Macaca mulatta: one gene and its partners. The protein of the gene in region 1 interacts with the protein of each later gene in a biochemical or structural test. Links are inferred from orthologs where the notes say so. Each region holds a gene or a part of one and is shown in the gene's direction. Other genes may lie near its edges.

Region 1 (6,122 bases):
GCCTCCAGTTTGTAGAAAGATATTCATAATCTATTCTCTTAATATTTAAAATGTTCTAACAATTATTCTATGGTATAATAGTCTCAGTTATCAGACTAACAGTCATTGCAACAATACGGAAGTTTACATCACTATTGTGAGAACATGCATATGTTTTATATAATTATGAGAAATGATACTATTTTATTTCATATGTTTCTCTAGAGAAATATTTGCTGTTTTCTTCAAGACTATCTAGACTCCAATGTAAGCTAGATTCTTAGGTAGGTGCATGGCATTGATCAAAGTTGAAATCCAAGAGTACATTATTGTAATCTTTGTAAAATAAAAAATTTAGGCACCTACAAATTTAGTATATACCTTAGGGAAAATAAAGCATTAACAGGATTTAATTTGTATTAAGGAAATTTTAAGCTGTGGTTTACTTTTTTATATATAGTACTTTCCAGGAGCAGATGAGCCATTACAGTATCCTTGTCAGTATTCAGATGAAGGACAGAGCAACTCTGCCACCAGTACAGGTAAATGGATAGATTGGAAGAGTATCGACTCGATTTTTCTTTCGTCTCTATTCCCGTGAAATTATAATCAAGAAGTAATGAATAATGTCCCCATTTGCATTTTAATTCCTTCATTTCATATGATTGACTGCAATTTAAGTTTACAGGTGCATCATTCTTCATGAAGATACCCTGATTAAAGAGTTATTGAAGACCTGCTTCCAAGTCTTGGAATTCCTACATAATTATGAATAAAAAGATGGCATATTGTATTGCAGTAAATGTCATTCTTAACTTTAAAGATAACTTTTAAATGGATACTACTAGATCAAGTGGTATTAGAAATTATTGTAAATGTATTTAACACATTTCTTCATCATGAACACCCTAATTTTTGTTCTTTTCTACAGAGACTGTGATTTAAGAAGCTATGTTAAAAGTTCCTTAGTTTTCCGAAATGTGAAGTAGTAGTGGGACATGTAATTTGTGGTCATCAAAAAGATAGTAGAAATAATACTGTAACTTAGAAATATTGTACTTCTCAAAATATAGTGGCATTATAAGCATTTCATTATTAATTAAAACTAAAAACTACATGTGTGTCTATATGCATATGTATTTACCCTGCATTTATTGACGAATACTTTTACTGATCTATTTCTCCCACCTCAAGAATAGTTTTATTTATTTTGAGATGGTTTATGGTTTGGCTAGTTATTCTCAAATTCCAGTTTTACTGAAAATATTTTGAGTTGCTCTGAATTCTAAAATGTACTTCTCTAAAATTCTATAATTTGCATCTCCCACGTCCTCCAAACCCTCTCTTCGTTTCCTTACTGTGACCTTGAGGTTTTTTAGCCTCCCACCTTTTCACTGGTCCTCAGTCCTCTTAGGTCCTTTTTTATTTCTCCCTCCACTTAATTCCAATCAACTATTATAATTCCTTTGGGAATAATTTTCATCTTTCTAGCCTCTCTCTCAAGCTTGCTTGGCTAAACCACAAGCCTAATAAAAGCTAACACTCGGGTTACCCCTTGCCTGTACCAGTGCAGCTGAGTATGGCTGGAGATATCCTCACATGCATGTTTAGTGCTATTGGACAGTTGTACTATATTGTAGTTCATCTCTTTCCTCCTATATATCTTAATTTTATACTGTAGCCTCTCCTCGGGCTTCAAACACCTCCTCACCACTCCTCACTCTCAGCTGATTTTGTTTGCCCTTCATCTGAGAAAAGTGGAGTAATCAGAAGACAGCTTCCACAACATCTGTGCCCATCTACTCTGCCTTCTTCTGTTACTCTGGCTGAACTATCCATACTTCTGGCCAAAGGTGTACCTTTCTGCCTGTGCATTATATCCCATCTGCATTATATCCCATCTACTTTTCTGAGCAATTCTCCTCTCTCTCTTGCATCATCAGCTTTAACTTTCTACTGGATCATTCCTAGAACATACGTAGTCTGTATTTGCATTCTCTAGCTTCTCTTTTCCCCTTCTTTCTTGAGCCGACTCCATTCAGACATATTATGCCAGTACTTCAGAATTGTTCTTGTCAAGGTCACTAGTTATCTCTACATCACTACATTTAAGGAATCATTTTCATTTCTCATCTTGACTCTCAGTAGCACTTGATCTAATTCATTACTTTCTCCTTCTTACACACAGCACTTTATTCAGTTGGCCTCTGAGATACCATACTAGCCTAGATTCCATCTTACATCTCTGGCCATCTGTTCTCAGTTTTCTTTGCTGGTTATTCCTCATCTCCCCAACCTAGAAATGTTGAAGTGCCTAGGGCCCAGTCATTTGGCTTCTTCACTTATCTGTCTGCACTCATTTCCTTGGTAACCTCATCCAGTATTGTGGCATTATATACCATCTGCTGGCTCATAATTTTTTCCATCTTATACCTGAACTCTATACTCATATATCCAACTACTTTCTATACATCTACTAGAAACTCAATATTTTCCAAACAGAGTTCCTGATACTTCCTTCAAACTCAATCTTCCTGTAGTCTTTCCCCATCTCAATTAATAGCCCTCAGTTCTTCTACTAGCTCAGGTTAAAAACCTTAAGTTATTCTTGACTATTAGAAGACTATTTAGGCATCTTGGTTCCTTTTTGTGCTAGCCTTAAGTTTTGCTTAAAATGGGTTTGTTTGGATATCTTCATTAGCTTGAAAAGTCTTATTTCTGTTCCTGCCTGGCTAGTTTATAAAAGAATGTAAGTTACATAATACTAAGTGAAGCATTTTTATTATTTCCAACCAGTAGTCATAAATGTTTCTGCTTTTCCTAGGCTCATTCATGGACATTGCTTCTACAAATACGAGTAATAAAAGTGACACTAATATGGAGCAAGTTCCTGCTACAAATGATACTATTAAGCGCTTAGAGTCAAAATTGTTGAAAAATCAGGCAAAGCAACAGGTTTGTTTTGTTATTACAAGTAAAATTGGTAACCTTAACAGTAGTCACAATATTATACTAAATGAAATTAATTATTTACCATCTTCTATTTTATAAATCCTGAATTTTCTTCCTGAAACATATAGAAGAGCTTACAAATAGAGACTTGTAATGAGAGTCTCCTACCATTTATTACCAAATGGTTTTTCCTTCTAATGATTGCTACCTTTGCCAACTCTAACTCCCTATCTATAATAATCCTTAAATGTAATGGTTGATGGTTAAAAATGTAAAACGGATATATTTTGGCTGTGCTGCCCAGTTAGAGGAGTTGTCCTAAGTGTATCATTTCATGCTATTCAGATTTATATTTTTGCCGTTGTTGATTTTTAAAAATATTGTAAGGAGTGAGTTTATTCATTTTGCCTGAGGCATTTAGGTTAATGAATAATTGGGGCTTTTAGCCCCAGTTCTAGTGACTACTCTTTCATAAAAACAGTATCTGCAGCTTGCTTTCCCTTACTGCTGTAGCTCCCTCTCGTGCAAACTTCCCTCTCCTTTCAGAGCAGAACAGGATCCATCAGAATCCTACTTGCCATCTTCCTCCTTTTAGGTTGCCTAAGACTGCTAAATCTAAAGAACTTCAGTAATTCAGATTGACCTGTAATTTTAACAGAGTGAATCTGGACGTTTAAGCTTGGGAGCCTCCCGTGGGAGCAGTGTGGAGAGCTTGCCCCCAACCTCTGAGGGAAAGAGGATGAGTGCTGACATGTCTGAAATAGAAGCTAGGATCGCTGCAACCACAGGTAAAAAGGAACTACAAGTCTGAAGAGTGAAATGTATATAAGCCTTTTTGGCCATGGTAGTTTCAGTTGTCAGAGGTTTTGTGTGTGTGTCTTTTTTTTTTTTTTTTTAAATAGGAAGTAGGTTTACAATATATTTTTCTAAGTTACTAGCAATAATTTTGCATTTATCTCAAATTCCAAATAAGGAAGGTATGACTTGTAAAATTATTTGGATGAGAAAGTATGCCTTCCTCATTTACAGATTTTATCAAATGTAATTCTTTCTGCTCAAACATGAGTTGAAAGTCTGAGTGAGAAATTCTGCCAAAACCGGAATATTTTGGGGATTTTGAGTGATACTACTAGATTTTTGTGCTGAACTCTAATAATAGCAAATATTTTGTTTCAAATTTAACAGAAAAATGTATTCCAGATCCACGTATGATTTGACCTTCTATCTGCTCCTTCATTCCAGTGACAAAATATTAGCTAAGCTGGTTATGGTTAATTTTTTTAATTGTAAAGTAAAAGATCATAATTTTATTGGATCTTGGAAAAGCTAGCATTTAAATTCCATTGTTCAGTTCTTAAAATTATTAATCATGGAAGAACTGGTCAGCACAAAAACAATTACATGTTTTGTTACCTAAGTAAACTGGCAACCTAATTTTCTGACCAGGTTTCATTTTAGTAATGCTGGTTTAGTTTGGACTTCGTTGTTTTTTGCTGATTCCTTCCAGGGATTGGGGGGAGCTGATTTTAAAAGTAAACACATTTCTGTTGTGGAAAATGTGGAAATGTAAACAAGCCAAAAAAACTTACATAATTACCCCACTCAGAGATAAACACTTAACATTTTTGTGTATTTACCCCAGTCTTTTAACTATATATATACGTATAAATGTGTATTTCTATGTGTATTTGCATCTTTTTTAACTTAGCTAACCAATTTTTTAGGTATTTTTTTCACTTATTTGGTTTTTTTCTAAATAGAATATTCTTATTGTGTGTGGAGCTCTTTCAGAAAGAAGTTGTCAAGATGGACCATCATACTATACTTGTCTTCAACTAATCATGATCATTGATTTTTATCAGCTAGTATTAGAATCCATTAGATATAACAGATTTCCAAAATAACAGTGTCTATAACACATAAGCATTATTTTTCAGACATAAACAAGTCTGAAGGTAGTGGGCTCTGTGATCTTGAAGTAACTGGTCTCCTATTTCTGTGCCGTAATCCCTATTGTATAGCTTCCATTCTCAAAGTTATCCTGTGCTCCAAAATGGTTGTTAAAGTTCCCTTTCATCACTTCTACATTCCAGGCAGCAGGAAGGAAGACATGGGGGTAGGGCAAATAGGCATCCAAGTTCTTTGAAGGAACATTCCCAGATGCCTTTCCTAACAATGTCCACACGTCATTGGTCAGAGTAACATGGTCGAATGGCTACACGTAGCTCCAAGGGAAGAGGAGATCTGCCCTCTTTTATCTGATGACTTTTCTGTCCTAAATAAAATCAGAGTACTATTGCTAAAACAGAAGGGAAGAGTAGAGACCGGCAGAAGATAGCTGTGTCTGCCACAGATGGATCTTCAGAAACTATCAAGTTGAGAAGTCACCAGCCACTGACAAGCCCAGAGTCTCCATGAATCACAAGTATTTCTTCGGAGCAGGGTTGTCTCACTGTAGTGTCAGATGAACCCTACTCACAGGGACATACCCTCACGCTTTGAGGAACCCTTTTCACTTCAGGCATGTTATTAAGGATAGATCTGCCACATTCTGATTGCTGTCTCAAAACTGAAAATTGTTATAATAATGGTTTCATGTCTTTGCTGGTATCATATTTCTAGTCAAGCACTGGTTTTTTATTATTATTTACAGAAATGACTTTGCAAGAAGGATAACCACACACATTAAAATTACCCTATCTTTTTTTGCCTAAATGTAGAACAAATGCTATTGTACATCCTTTGAGCTTTACACAATTTGTATTTTTTCATGAATTGTCTTACTTGGAAAGATTCATACTTTCCAGCCTTTTGACAGACTTTGTGTTTACTGTGAATGTACCCTAAACTTTGGAAAATATAATAAATATTTGGTTTACTAGAAATATGTATGATTACAAAAGTATATACATTTCACACTTTGATTCAATAATTAGTATTTAATCATTGAATTTTACTTTATAGCACACTTCAAGAATCACCTAACTTGAACATATATTCCTGTTTGTGTAATTAAAACAAATATGACTACTTACTTTTTAATGCCTTTCTTCCTTTCCTCCTTCGTTCCCCCACCCCCATCACATATCAGTGATTTCACTTAGGTAGAGTGTTTCTATGAATATATTTGAAATTTTGCTTCCTCATTACCCTGCAGCTTTGTCTCTGTTCTTTTTATTTTTTCTGCTGAT
Region 2 (5,127 bases), on another chromosome or scaffold:
GCTTAGTTTGGCTGGATGTGAAATTCAGGGTTGAAAATTCTTTAAGAATGTTGAATATTGGCCCCCACTCTCTTCTGGCCTGTAGGGTTTCTGCAGCAATCCACTATTAACCTGATGGGCTTCCCTTTGTAGGTAACCTGACCTTTCTCTCTGGCTGCTCTTAACATTTTTTTCCTTTGTTTCAACCTTGGAGAATCTGATGATTATGTGTCTTACGGTTGCTCTTCTCAAGGAGTATCTTTGTGATATTCTCTGTATTTCCTGAATTTGAATGTTGGCCTGTCTTGCTATGTTGGGGAAGTTCTCCTGGATAACATCCTGAAGTGTGTTTTCCAACTTGGTTCCCTTCTCCCCGTCACTTTCAGGTACACCAGTGAAACGTAGGTTTGGTCTTTTCACGTAGTCCCATATTTCTTGGAGCCTTTGTTCATTCCTTTTCGTTTTTTTTCCTCTAGTCTTGTCTTCATGCTTTATTTCATTAAGTTGATCTTCAGTCTCTGATATCCTTTCTTCCACTTGATCGATTTGGCTATTGATACTTGTGTATGCTTCACAAAGTTCTCTTGCTGTGTTTTTCAGCTCCATAGGTCATTTATGTTCCTCTCTAAACTGGTTATTCTAATTAACAATTCCTGTAGCATTTTATCAAGGTTCTTAGCTTCCTTGCATTGGGTTAGAACATGCTCCTTTAGCTCAGAGGAGTTTGTTATTACCCACCTTCTGAAGCCTACTTCTATCAATTCGTCAATCTCATTCTCCATCCAGTTTTGTGCCCTCCTTGGAGAGGAATTGGCGATCATTTGGAGAAGAGACATTCTGTTTTTTGGATTTTTCAGCGTTTTTGTGCTGGTTTTTCCTCATCTTCGTGGATTTATCTACCGTTGATCTTTGAGGCTGATGACCTTTGGATGGGGTTATTGTGTGGGGGTCTTTTTTGTTCATGATGTTGTTGCTTTCTGTTTGTTAGTTTCTCTTCTAACAGTCAGGCCCCTCTTCTGCAGGTCTGCTGCAGTTTGCTGGGGGTCCACTCCAGACTCTGTACACTTGGGCATCACCAGTGGAGGCTGCAGAACAGCAAAGATTGCTGCCTGTTCCTTCCTCTGGAAGCTTTGTCCCAGAGGGGCACCAGCCTGATGCCAGCCAGAGCTCTCCTGTGTGAGGTGTCTGTCAACCCCTGTTGGGAGGTGTCTTCCCAGTTAGGAGGCACGGGCATCAGGGCCCCTCTTGAGGAGGCAGCCTGTCCCTTAGCAGAGCTGTTGTGCTGGGAAATCCCTCTTATCAGGATCAGTTGCTCTCTTCAGAGCCACCAGGTGGGAAAGATTAAATCTGCTGAAGCTGTGTGCCCACAGCCACCCCTTCCCCAGCTGCTCTATCCCAGGGAGATGGGGATTTTATCTGTAAGCCCCTGACTGGGACTGTTACCCTTCCTTCAGAGATGTCCCGCCCAGTGAGTAGGAATCTAGAGAAGCAGTCTGGCCACAGCTGCTTTGCCACGCTGTGGTGAATTTTGCCCAGTCCAAACCTCTCACCCTCCTTAGTACTGTCCAGGGAAAAGTGTCTACTAAAGCCTCAATAATCACGGATGCCCCTCCCCCAACCAAGCTCCATCATTCCAGGTCAACTTCAGACTGCTGCACTGGCAGAGTTTCAAGCCAGCGGTTCTTAGCTTGCTGGGCTCTGTGGGAGTGGGACCTGCTGAGTGAGACCACTTGGACCCCTGGCTTCAGTCCCCTTTCCAGGGGAGTGAATGGTTCTGTCTCACTGGGGTTTCAGGCACCACTGGGGTACAAAAAAAAAAAAAAAAACTCCTGCAGCTAGCTCGGTGTCTGCCCAAACAACTGGCCAGTTTTGTGCTTGAAACCCAGGGCCCTGGTGGTGTAGGTACACAAGGGAATCTCCTGATCTGCAGATTGCAAAAACCGTGGGAAAAGCGTAGTATCCGGGCCAAGTAGCACAGTTCCTCACGGCTTCCCTTGGCTGGGGGAGGGAGGTCCCCGGCTCCTTGCACGTCCCAGGTGAGGCAATGCCCCACCCTGCTTCTGCTCACCCTCTGTGGGTTGCACCCGCTGCCTAACCAGTCCCAGTGAGATGAACCGGGTACCGCAGTTGGAAACGCAGAAGTCGCCCCCCTTCTGCGTTGGTCTTGCTGGGAGCTGAGACCGGAGCTGTTCCTATTTGGCCATCTTGGCCCCTCCCCTTTTTTAAATTTAAAAAAGTTTATGTAGCGATGAGGTCTCCCTATGTTGCCATGCTGGTTTTGAACTTCTGGCCTCAAGTGATCCTTCCACCTTGGCCTCCCAGAGTGCTAGGATTACAGGCATGAGCCACCATGTCCAACCAAATTTGTATTTTCTCGATGAGCAGTGATGTTGAACAGCTGTTCATCTCTCTGTTGGCCATTTGTATCTTCTTTCTCGTCTAACAGCTCCCTTGAAAGAGTGTGTGCCCTCAGTCTATGTCTTCTACAGAACTGGCGTAGCTTCAGAATACGAGCAGTTCCCCAAAAGAGTGTTTTACTTAGAGCATAAGAAGACGAAAAATAAATCATTATTATATGTGGATGAGGTTTTTCATAAAATATAACTGTTAATATATTTTTGGTTAAAATGCATGTGTGCTTTTCTTCTTTAGGTTACATAAAGAAAGGATGATATCTCTAAAGGTACGTGGATTCATCCAGATTTGGAGCCAGAGGACTGGGATGACTAAGTTGAAAGAAGCTCTCATTGAAACAGTGCAAAGAAAAAAGGAAATTAAACTGGTGGTCACTTTCAAATCTGGAAAATTTATAAGAATTTTTCAGCTGAGTAATAACATTAGAAGTGTGGTCCTTAGACATTGTAAAAAAAGACAAAGTCACCTGCGTTTAACTTTGAAAAACAATGTGTTCTTGTTTATTGACAAATTATCCTACAGAGATGCTAAACAGTTGAATATGTTCCTGGACATAATACATCAAAACAAATTTCAGCAACCCGTGAAACCTGATGATGATTGGAGTGTGTTTGAAAGCAGGAATGTGCTGAAGGAAATTGACAAAACTTCATTTTACGGGATTTGTAACAAGCCAAGTTATCAGAAGATGCCTTTGTTTATGTCAAAATCACCAACACATGTGAAAAAAGGGTTATTAGAAAATCAAGGTGGGAAGGAGAAAAACCCACTAGCATCTGGTCTACAGATGAATGAGGACATTCTGAAGGAACATAACCCTGTACCAAACAAGAAATATAAGACAGATTCCTTGAAATATATACAAAGCAATAGGAAGAACCCATCAAGTTTAGAGGATTTAGAAAAAGCTAGCGATTTGAAACTCGGGCCTTCATTCAAGACCAACTCTAATGGACATCCTAACCTAGATGAGACTGTTCTTGCAACCCAGACTCTCGATGCCAAAAATGGTTTGACATTTCCATTAGAACCAGCGCACAGCCAGGATGACCCGAGATGCAACGAAGCCCAGGTGCCTCTTGACTCTCATTCAGAGCAACTGCAGCAAGGGTTCCCCAATTTGGGAAACACCTGTTACATGAATGCAATTTTACAATCGCTGTTTGCAATTCCGTCTTTTGCTGATGACTTACTCACTCAAGATGTCCCATGGGAATATATTCCCTTTGAGGCTCTTATTATGACCTTGACCCAGCTGCTTGCTTTGAAAGATTTCTGTAGTACAGAGATCAAGAGAGAATTACTTGGGAATGTTAAAAAAGTCATTTCAGCAGTTGCAGAAATATTTTCTGGCAACATGCAGAATGATGCGCATGAGTTTTTAGGTCAGTGTTTAGACCAGCTGAAAGAAGACATGGAGAACTTAAATGCCATTTTGAATACTGGGAAAAAATGCGGGGATGAAAATTCATCTCCACAAATGCATGTTGGTAGTGCTGCCACCAAAGTGTTTGTTTGTCCTGTTGTTGCTAATTTTGAGTTTGAATTGCAGCTCTCCATTGTCTGTAAAGCCTGTGGTCATGCGGTTCTCAAGGTAGAACCTAACAATTATCTCTCCATCAACCTGCACCAAGAAACAAAACCACTTCCTTTGTCCATTCAGAATTCTTTAGATCTTTTCTTTAGAGAAGAAGAGCTTGAGTATAACTGTGAGATGTGTAAGCACAAGAGTTGTGTTGCAAGGCATACATTTAGTAGGCTCTCCAGGGTCCTTATCGTTCATCTGAAACGCTATAGCTTCAACAATGCTTGGTTGCTGGTGAAGAATAACGAGCAAGTTTATATTCCCAAATATTTAAGCTTATCTTCTTATTGCAATGAAAGCACCAAACCACCTCTTCCCTTGAGCAGTAATGCACCTGTTGGGAAATGTGAAGTCCTGGAAGTCTCTCAGGAGATGATTTCTGAGATCACCAGCCCATTGACACCATCAATGAAGCTGACCTCAGAATCCAGTGATTCCCTGGTTCTACCCGTTGAACCAGAGAAGAATGCCGACCTACAAAGATCCCAGAGAGACTGTGGAGAAGAAAGCCAAGAGCAGCATCAGGGAGACCTGGAAAATGGTTCTGCACTAGAGTCAGAATTGGTCCACTTTAGAGATAGGGCAATAAGTGAACAGGAGCTTCCAGTGGCTGACTCACTGATGGACCAGGAAGACATTTCTCTTCCTGTGATATGTGAAGATGGAGGGAAGCCGATCAGCAGCCCAGACACAAGGCTTGTCGAGGTTCATCTTCAAGAAGTGCCTCAACATCCAGAACTTCAGAAGTATGAGAAAACCAATACATTCGTAGAGTTTGATTTTGACAGTGTCATGGAGTCTACCAATGGCTTTTATGAGTGTAAAGAAAACAGGATTCCAGAAGGATCTCAAGGAATGACTGAACAGTTCCAGCAGTGTTTTGAGGAGAGCATCATAGAGGAATTTCTTCAGCAGGCACCACCTCCAGGTGTTAGGAAACTGGATGCCCAGGAACATGCAGAGGAGACCCCCAGTCAGTCTACAGAATTAAGACTTCAGCAGGCTGACCTGAACCACCTCGAGGCATTGGGTTGTGATAACCCAGGAAACAAAAACATTTTAGATACAGAGAACACAAGAGGTGAAGCCAAGGAACTGACAAGAAACGTGAAGATGGGGGATCCTCTCCAGGCCTACAGACTCATCAG
Region 3 (6,122 bases), on another chromosome or scaffold:
TTAAGCTTCCATCTCATGATGCTAGGGGAAAGAACCCAAAGGAAGTAGAAGGAGACAAATAATAGCAGTAAAAACAGAAACTAATGAAAAAGGCTGGGCGCAGTGGCTCACGCCTGTAACCCCAGCACTTTGGGAGGCTGAGGCGAGTGGATCACCTGAGGTCAGGAGTTTGAGACCAGTCTGACCAACATGGTGAAACCCCATCTCTACTGAAAATACAAAAATTAGCTGGGTGTGGTGGCCAGCACCTGTGATACCAGCTACTCAGGAGGCTGAAGCAGGAGAATCACTTGAACTCAGGAGGTGGAGGATGCAGTAAGCCAAGATCACGCCATTGCACTCCAGCCCGGACGTCAAGAGCGAAACTCTGTCTCAAAAAAAAAGCCAAAAAAAATAAAAAAAAAACTTTTTCATTAAACAAGAATTATTTGTTTATTCAGCTTTTTTCCTAAGGTAGTTTTTTTCAGAGACAAAATCTTAGCCAATGCATCTGCAATCCTCTAAGACCACGTCCCTCAGAGATTAGCTGCGAGGGGTCCACCAGCTTGACCTCCTTGAGGCTGTGCTTTACTGTCCGTCATGAGCCTTCAGAGAATCTCCTGAGTGCCTCATTTTGTTGGGGTTGTCCCTCAGTGACCCTTTAGAACTTGATTTATCTTGTATCTCTGGTACTGTCTAGAAGGTATGTAAAGCCCTCATCATGTTCTGTTTCAGTGCTTGAGCAACACTGCACCACTGACTGACTACTTTCTCAAAGATGAGTATGAAGCCGAAATCAACAGAGACAACCCTCTGGGGATGAAAGGGGAAATTGCAGAAGCCTATGCAGAGCTCATTAAGCAGATGTGGTCTGGAAGGGATGCCCATGTGGCACCTCGCATGTTCAAAGTAGGTAGACATATATATATATACAGGTTGAGTATCTCTGTATATAGATGCTTGGGACCAGAAATGTTTTGGGACTTCAGGTTTTTTAGGGTTTTTTTTTTTTTACAGTATTTCCATTACGCTTACTAGTTCAGCATCCCCATTCCAAAATCTAAAATGTTTCAATGAGCATTTCCTTTGAATATCGTGTCAGTGTTAGAAAGGTTATGGATCTTTGAGCATTTGGATTTCAGATTTTCGGGTAAAGGATACACTCCTGTACTTCCTTTTTCCCACTTTGGGGAGAGTGGTTTAGTGTTGTTATGAGGCATTCCTTTTGTTGCATTTTGGGATTAAGATGGGATCTGGGCCAGGCGCTGTGGCTCACGCCTATAATCCCAGCACTTTGGGAGGCCGAGGCAGGTGGATCACTAGGTCAAGAGATTGAGACCATCCTGGCCAACATGGTGAAGCCCCGTCTCTACTAAAAATACAAAAAGTAGCTAGGCGTGGTGGCGCATGCCTGTAGTCCCAGCTACTTGGGAGACTGAGGCAGGAGAATCACTTGAACCTGGGAGGTGGAGGTTGCAGTGAGCTGAGATTGCGCCACTGCAGTCCAACCTGGTGGCAGAGTAAGACTCCGTCTCCAAAAAAAAAAAAAAAAAAAAAAAAAGATGGGATCTGATGACCAGTCACGATGGCTCACGCCTGTAATCTCAGCACTTTGGGGGGCCAAGGTGGGTGGATCACCTGAGGTCAGGAGTTCAAGACCAGCCTGGCTAACATGGTGAAACCCCTTCTCTACTAAAAATACAAAAATTAGCTGGGCATGGTGGTGCACACTTGTAATCCCAGCTACGTGGGAGGCTGAGGCAGGAGAATTGCTTGAACCTGGGAGATGCAGATTGCAGTGAGCCAAGATCACACCACTGCACTCCAGCCTAGGCAACAGAGCAAGACTCCATCTCAAAAAAAAAAAAAAAAAAAAAAAAAAGATGGAATCTGAGACTAAAAGTACCACATTGTCAAACCCTTTTTTTCCTGTCATTCAGTCATTTAGCACACCCCTAAGTGTCTTCACTGCCCACCTCTGGGTTGGGGATGTCTCAGAAGTTATTTGTAAGCTGATTCCTCAGAATGCTGTATTCTGTGATGGCAGTATTTAAATGGTCAGTTTCCTAAGCCAGACTATAAAAATTCAGTTTCTTGGAAGGCTGAGGTGGGAGGATCCCTGGAGCCCAGGAGTTTGAGACCCGCCTGGGCAACATAGTGAGACTCCGTTTTTGTTTTGTTTTGTTTGAGACAGAGTCTGACTCTCTTCTTGCCCAGGTTGGAGTGCAGTGGCACGATCTTGGCTCACTGCAGCCTACACCTCCCGGGTTCAAGCGATTCTCATGCCTTAGCCTCCTGAGTAGCTGAGACTACAGGTGTGCACCACCATGCCTGGCTAATTTTAGTATTTTTAGTAGAGATGGGGTTTCGCCATGTTGACCAGGCTGGTCTCAAACTCCTGATCTCAGGGGATCTGCCTGCCCCAGCCTCTCAAAGTGCTGGGATTATAGGCATGAGCCACTGCGCCTGATCAAGTCTCTGTTTCTTTAAAAACAACAAAAAAGTTGGCCAGGCGCAGTGGCTCACGCCTGTAATCCCAGCACTTTGGGAGGCCGAGGCGGGCAGATCACGAAGTCAGGAGATCGAGACCATCCTGGCTAATATGGTGAAACCCTGTCTCTGCTAAAAATACAAAAAAAAAAAAAAAAAAATTAGCCAGGTGTGATGGCAGGCGCCTGTAGTCCCAGCTGCTCGGGAGGCTGAGGCAGGAGAATAGCATGAACCCGGGAGGCAGAGCTTGCAGTGAGCCGAGATCGTGCCTCTGCACTCCAGCCTGGGTGACAGAACGAGACTCCATCTCAAAGAAAAAACAACAACAACAAAAAAAGTCCGGGCATGGTGGCTCGTTCCTGTAATCCAGCACTTTGGGAGGCTGAGGTGGGCAGATCACGAGGTCAGGAGTTTGAGATCAGCCTGACCAACATAATGAAACCTCGTCTCTACTGAAAATACAAAAATTAGCCAGGTGTGATGGTGCCCACCTGTAATTCCAGCTACTCAGGAGGCTGAGGCAGGAGAATTGCTTGAACCTGGGAGGTGGAGGTTGCAGTGAGCTGAGATCGCACCACTGCACTCCAGCCTGAGCAACAGAGCGAGACTCTGTCTCTAAAACAACAACAAAATTAGCTGGACATGGTGATGTACCTATAGTCCCAGCTACCAGGGAGGCTGAGGTGGGAGGAATTACTTAAGCCTGACAGGTCAAGGCTGCAGTGAGCTGTGATTGTGCCACTGTACTCCAGCCTTGGCGACACAGACCCTGTCCCAGAATAAAAAAATAAAAAAGAATTGGGTGGCAACACACTGTGCTGAAGCTAATGTAAATAAACAACTAGAAGGTAGTGTTTAGGGATATTAGGGAAGTGTGGAGCTTCCTCAGTGATGGATGTGTTATATATTTGTACTGTGTTATGGCAGCCACCAGCTCAAGCACCTCTGAGCACTTGAGATGTGGTTCATTTGACCAAGGAACTGAATTTTTAATGGTTTTTAATTGTAATTAATATAAATTTAGGTTGCCATATGTGGCTAGTGGCTATGGTATTAGAGAACAGGTGTAGAACAGTGGTGCTCCATTTTTTTTTTTTTTTTTTTTTTGAGACAGAGTCTTGCTCTGTCGCACAGGCTGGAGTGCACTGGCACGATTTTGGCTCACTGCAGCCTCCGCCTCCTGGGTTCAAGCAATTCTCCTGCCTCAGCCTCCCGTGTAGCTGGGATTACAGGTGTGCACCACCATGCCCAGCTAATTTTTGTATTTTTAGTAGAGACCAGGTTTCACCATGTTGGCCAGGCTGGTCTTGAACTCCCAACCTCAGGTGATCTGCCTGCCTCAGCCTCCCAAAATTCTGCGATTACAGGCGTGAGCCACCGTGCCTGGCTGGTTCTCCATAGGATACATCACAGTCTCTGGGAGTGCTTAATACAACATAGACTGCTAGACCCATCCGCAGAGTTTCTGATTGAATGGGTTTGCTGTGGGGGCCTGAGAATGTGCATTTCTACTAAGCTCCCAGGTGATACTAATGCTGCTGGCTAGGGACCATACTCTCAGAATAACTGGTGGAGAATAATACTGGACAGACAGTATTTAGGGACCTGAGGGCTGTTATGTACAGGAGGATTCCTCCAGCTGATGAAAGTATCGTTTGTAATGTCCTTATGGAGTTTAAGACTCTGAACCAAAGAAGGACATGTTGGAGAGGGATTCATGTCAGTACTTGGGTGTGGTTACTCAGGATACCCCACCCTTCCTCCCTAGGACTTAAGGTAGTGGCCCAGGTTCCAGATTCATCCTCCTGGCTCTCTGATCTAGGCCTTCTCTCTGGTGGGAACCACTGGCCTCCTGTAGGCTCTTCAGGAGTTAATTGGACTACTCAACCAAGTGTTCTCTCTCACTACCCAGCTAACTCCTCAAAGCTATTTTTGATGATAGTTCTCATTTGATTTAACTAGTTCTTTACATATTATGCCTTCTGATGCAGTTGCTTTTGTTGTAGACTCAAGTGGGACGTTTTGCTCCTCAATTTTCTGGCTACCAGCAACAAGATTCTCAGGAGCTGTTAGCCTTTCTTCTAGATGGATTGCATGAAGATCTGAACCGAGTAAAGAAGAAGCCCTACTTGGAGCTGAAGGATGCCAATGGGCGGCCAGACGCGGTATGCCATTAATGATGTCTGAACGAAGAAGCTGCCTCATATTGAGAGTGCAGGGATATTCTTCTGGTCTTTTGAGTGTTGCTGCCAGGGCCCTGGTTGCTTCTCACTGTAGCTAGTTATAGGTATATGGTCTCTGGTCAGAAAAGGGCTAACTGTAGTTACTGCTATTTTTTTTTTGTAATAGAGACAAAATCTTGCTATGTTGTCTAGGCTGGTCTCCAGCTCCTGAGCTTAAGCAGTCCTCTTACCTTAGCCTCCCAAAGTGCTGAGATTACAACAGGCGTGAGCCACTGTCCCCTAGTTACTCCTAATGCTTCCTCTTGGGCTTTTTCAAATTTGAGTGAGCTTGTTTGATATTTCACTGGTGAACTAGGGACTAAGAACACTCTGAAAACTGTAAAGTGCCTGTAGTGAGGACCCCTAAGATTGTTATCGCTCACAATAAAAGCTATCTATGATTACTTAATTTGTTATTAATATCATTAGGACATTTATACTTTTTACCTTGATTTTCTGATCAGTGCAAGAGGATTTTAGTATTTCAGCTGCCCTGTCACATTGGGATAATCAATATGAATGCTTTAAAGTAAAATTTAGATCTTCTTAGAAAAACTGTGAGTTAGCTGAACTGTAGTATAGATAAAATTATTAAAATTTATTTGTTTATTTTTTTGAGATGGAGTCTCACTCTGTCACCCAGGCTGGAGTGCAATGATGCGATCTCGCTCACTGCATCCTCCACCTCCCGGGTTCAAGCGATTCTCCTGTCTCAGCCTCTTGAGTAGCTGGGACTATAGCCATGTACCACCACACCCGGCAAATTTTTGTATTTTTAGTAGAGAGGGGATTTCACCATGTTGGCCAGGCTAATCTTGAACTCCTGACCTAAGGTGATCCATCTGCCTCGGCCTCTCAAAGTGCTGGGATTTCAGGCATGAGCCACTGTGCCCGGCCAAAAACTACTTTAGATCACTGGAAACATATAGGGGGACTTTCCTTGTCCTGGCCATGTATCTGTACCCATAGTGTCCTCCGGGTTCTGTTTCCTATCAGGACACACAAACCCCTAGTTTCCAATAGGTCCTATGATGCCAACCTTATTAAGTGTGGGGATTACAACGAGGCACAGTGGCTTACCCCTGCGGTTCCAGCACTTTGGAGGCTGAGGTGGGAGCATCACTTGAGGCCAGGAGCTCTAGAACCATCTGGTCAACATAGTAAAACCCCCATCCCTACCAAAACTAAAAAAACATTAGCCAGGCATGGTGGGGCGTGCCTATAGTCCTAGCTACTTGGGAGTCTGAGGCAGGAAGATCGCTTTGAGCCCAGGAGTTCGAGGCTGTAGTGAACCATGGTCGTGCCAGCCTGAGCGACAGAGCAAGACCATGTCTCAATCAATCAATATAATATATATTTGAAATATATATATAAACATATATATGAAATATATATATGTGTGTTGGGGTGGGGATTGGGTGTAGAGCTGGC

The links.
Region 2: the proteins of MAP3K7 (region 1) and USP29 form a complex in vitro, tested with the Homo sapiens proteins (2 studies listed by BioGRID). The link is inferred for Macaca mulatta from reciprocal best matches to the Homo sapiens genes MAP3K7 and USP29.
Region 3: of the proteins of MAP3K7 (region 1) and USP4, one has a biochemical effect on the other in vitro, tested with the Homo sapiens proteins (2 studies listed by BioGRID). The link is inferred for Macaca mulatta from reciprocal best matches to the Homo sapiens genes MAP3K7 and USP4.

The regions. Positions count from the first base shown.
Region 1 is NC_133409.1:95,418,268-95,424,389, forward strand, and holds part of MAP3K7 (mitogen-activated protein kinase kinase kinase 7), read left to right. Parts: intron 1-439; coding exon 440-521; intron 522-2,803; coding exon 2,804-2,934; intron 2,935-3,589; coding exon 3,590-3,719; intron 3,720-6,122. UniProt on the Homo sapiens protein: Serine/threonine kinase which acts as an essential component of the MAP kinase signal transduction pathway. Plays an important role in the cascades of cellular responses evoked by changes in the environment.
Region 2 is NC_133424.1:69,336,373-69,341,499, forward strand, and holds part of USP29 (ubiquitin carboxyl-terminal hydrolase 29), read left to right. Parts: intron 1-2,631; 5' UTR 2,632-2,647; coding exon 2,648-5,127.
Region 3 is NC_133407.1:112,741,308-112,747,429, reverse strand, and holds part of USP4 (ubiquitin carboxyl-terminal hydrolase 4), read left to right. Parts: intron 1-228; exon of another isoform or gene 229-406; intron 407-714; coding exon 715-888; exon of another isoform or gene 889-1,268; intron 1,269-1,451; exon of another isoform or gene 1,452-1,542; intron 1,543-4,475; coding exon 4,476-4,634; exon of another isoform or gene 4,635-4,811; intron 4,812-6,122.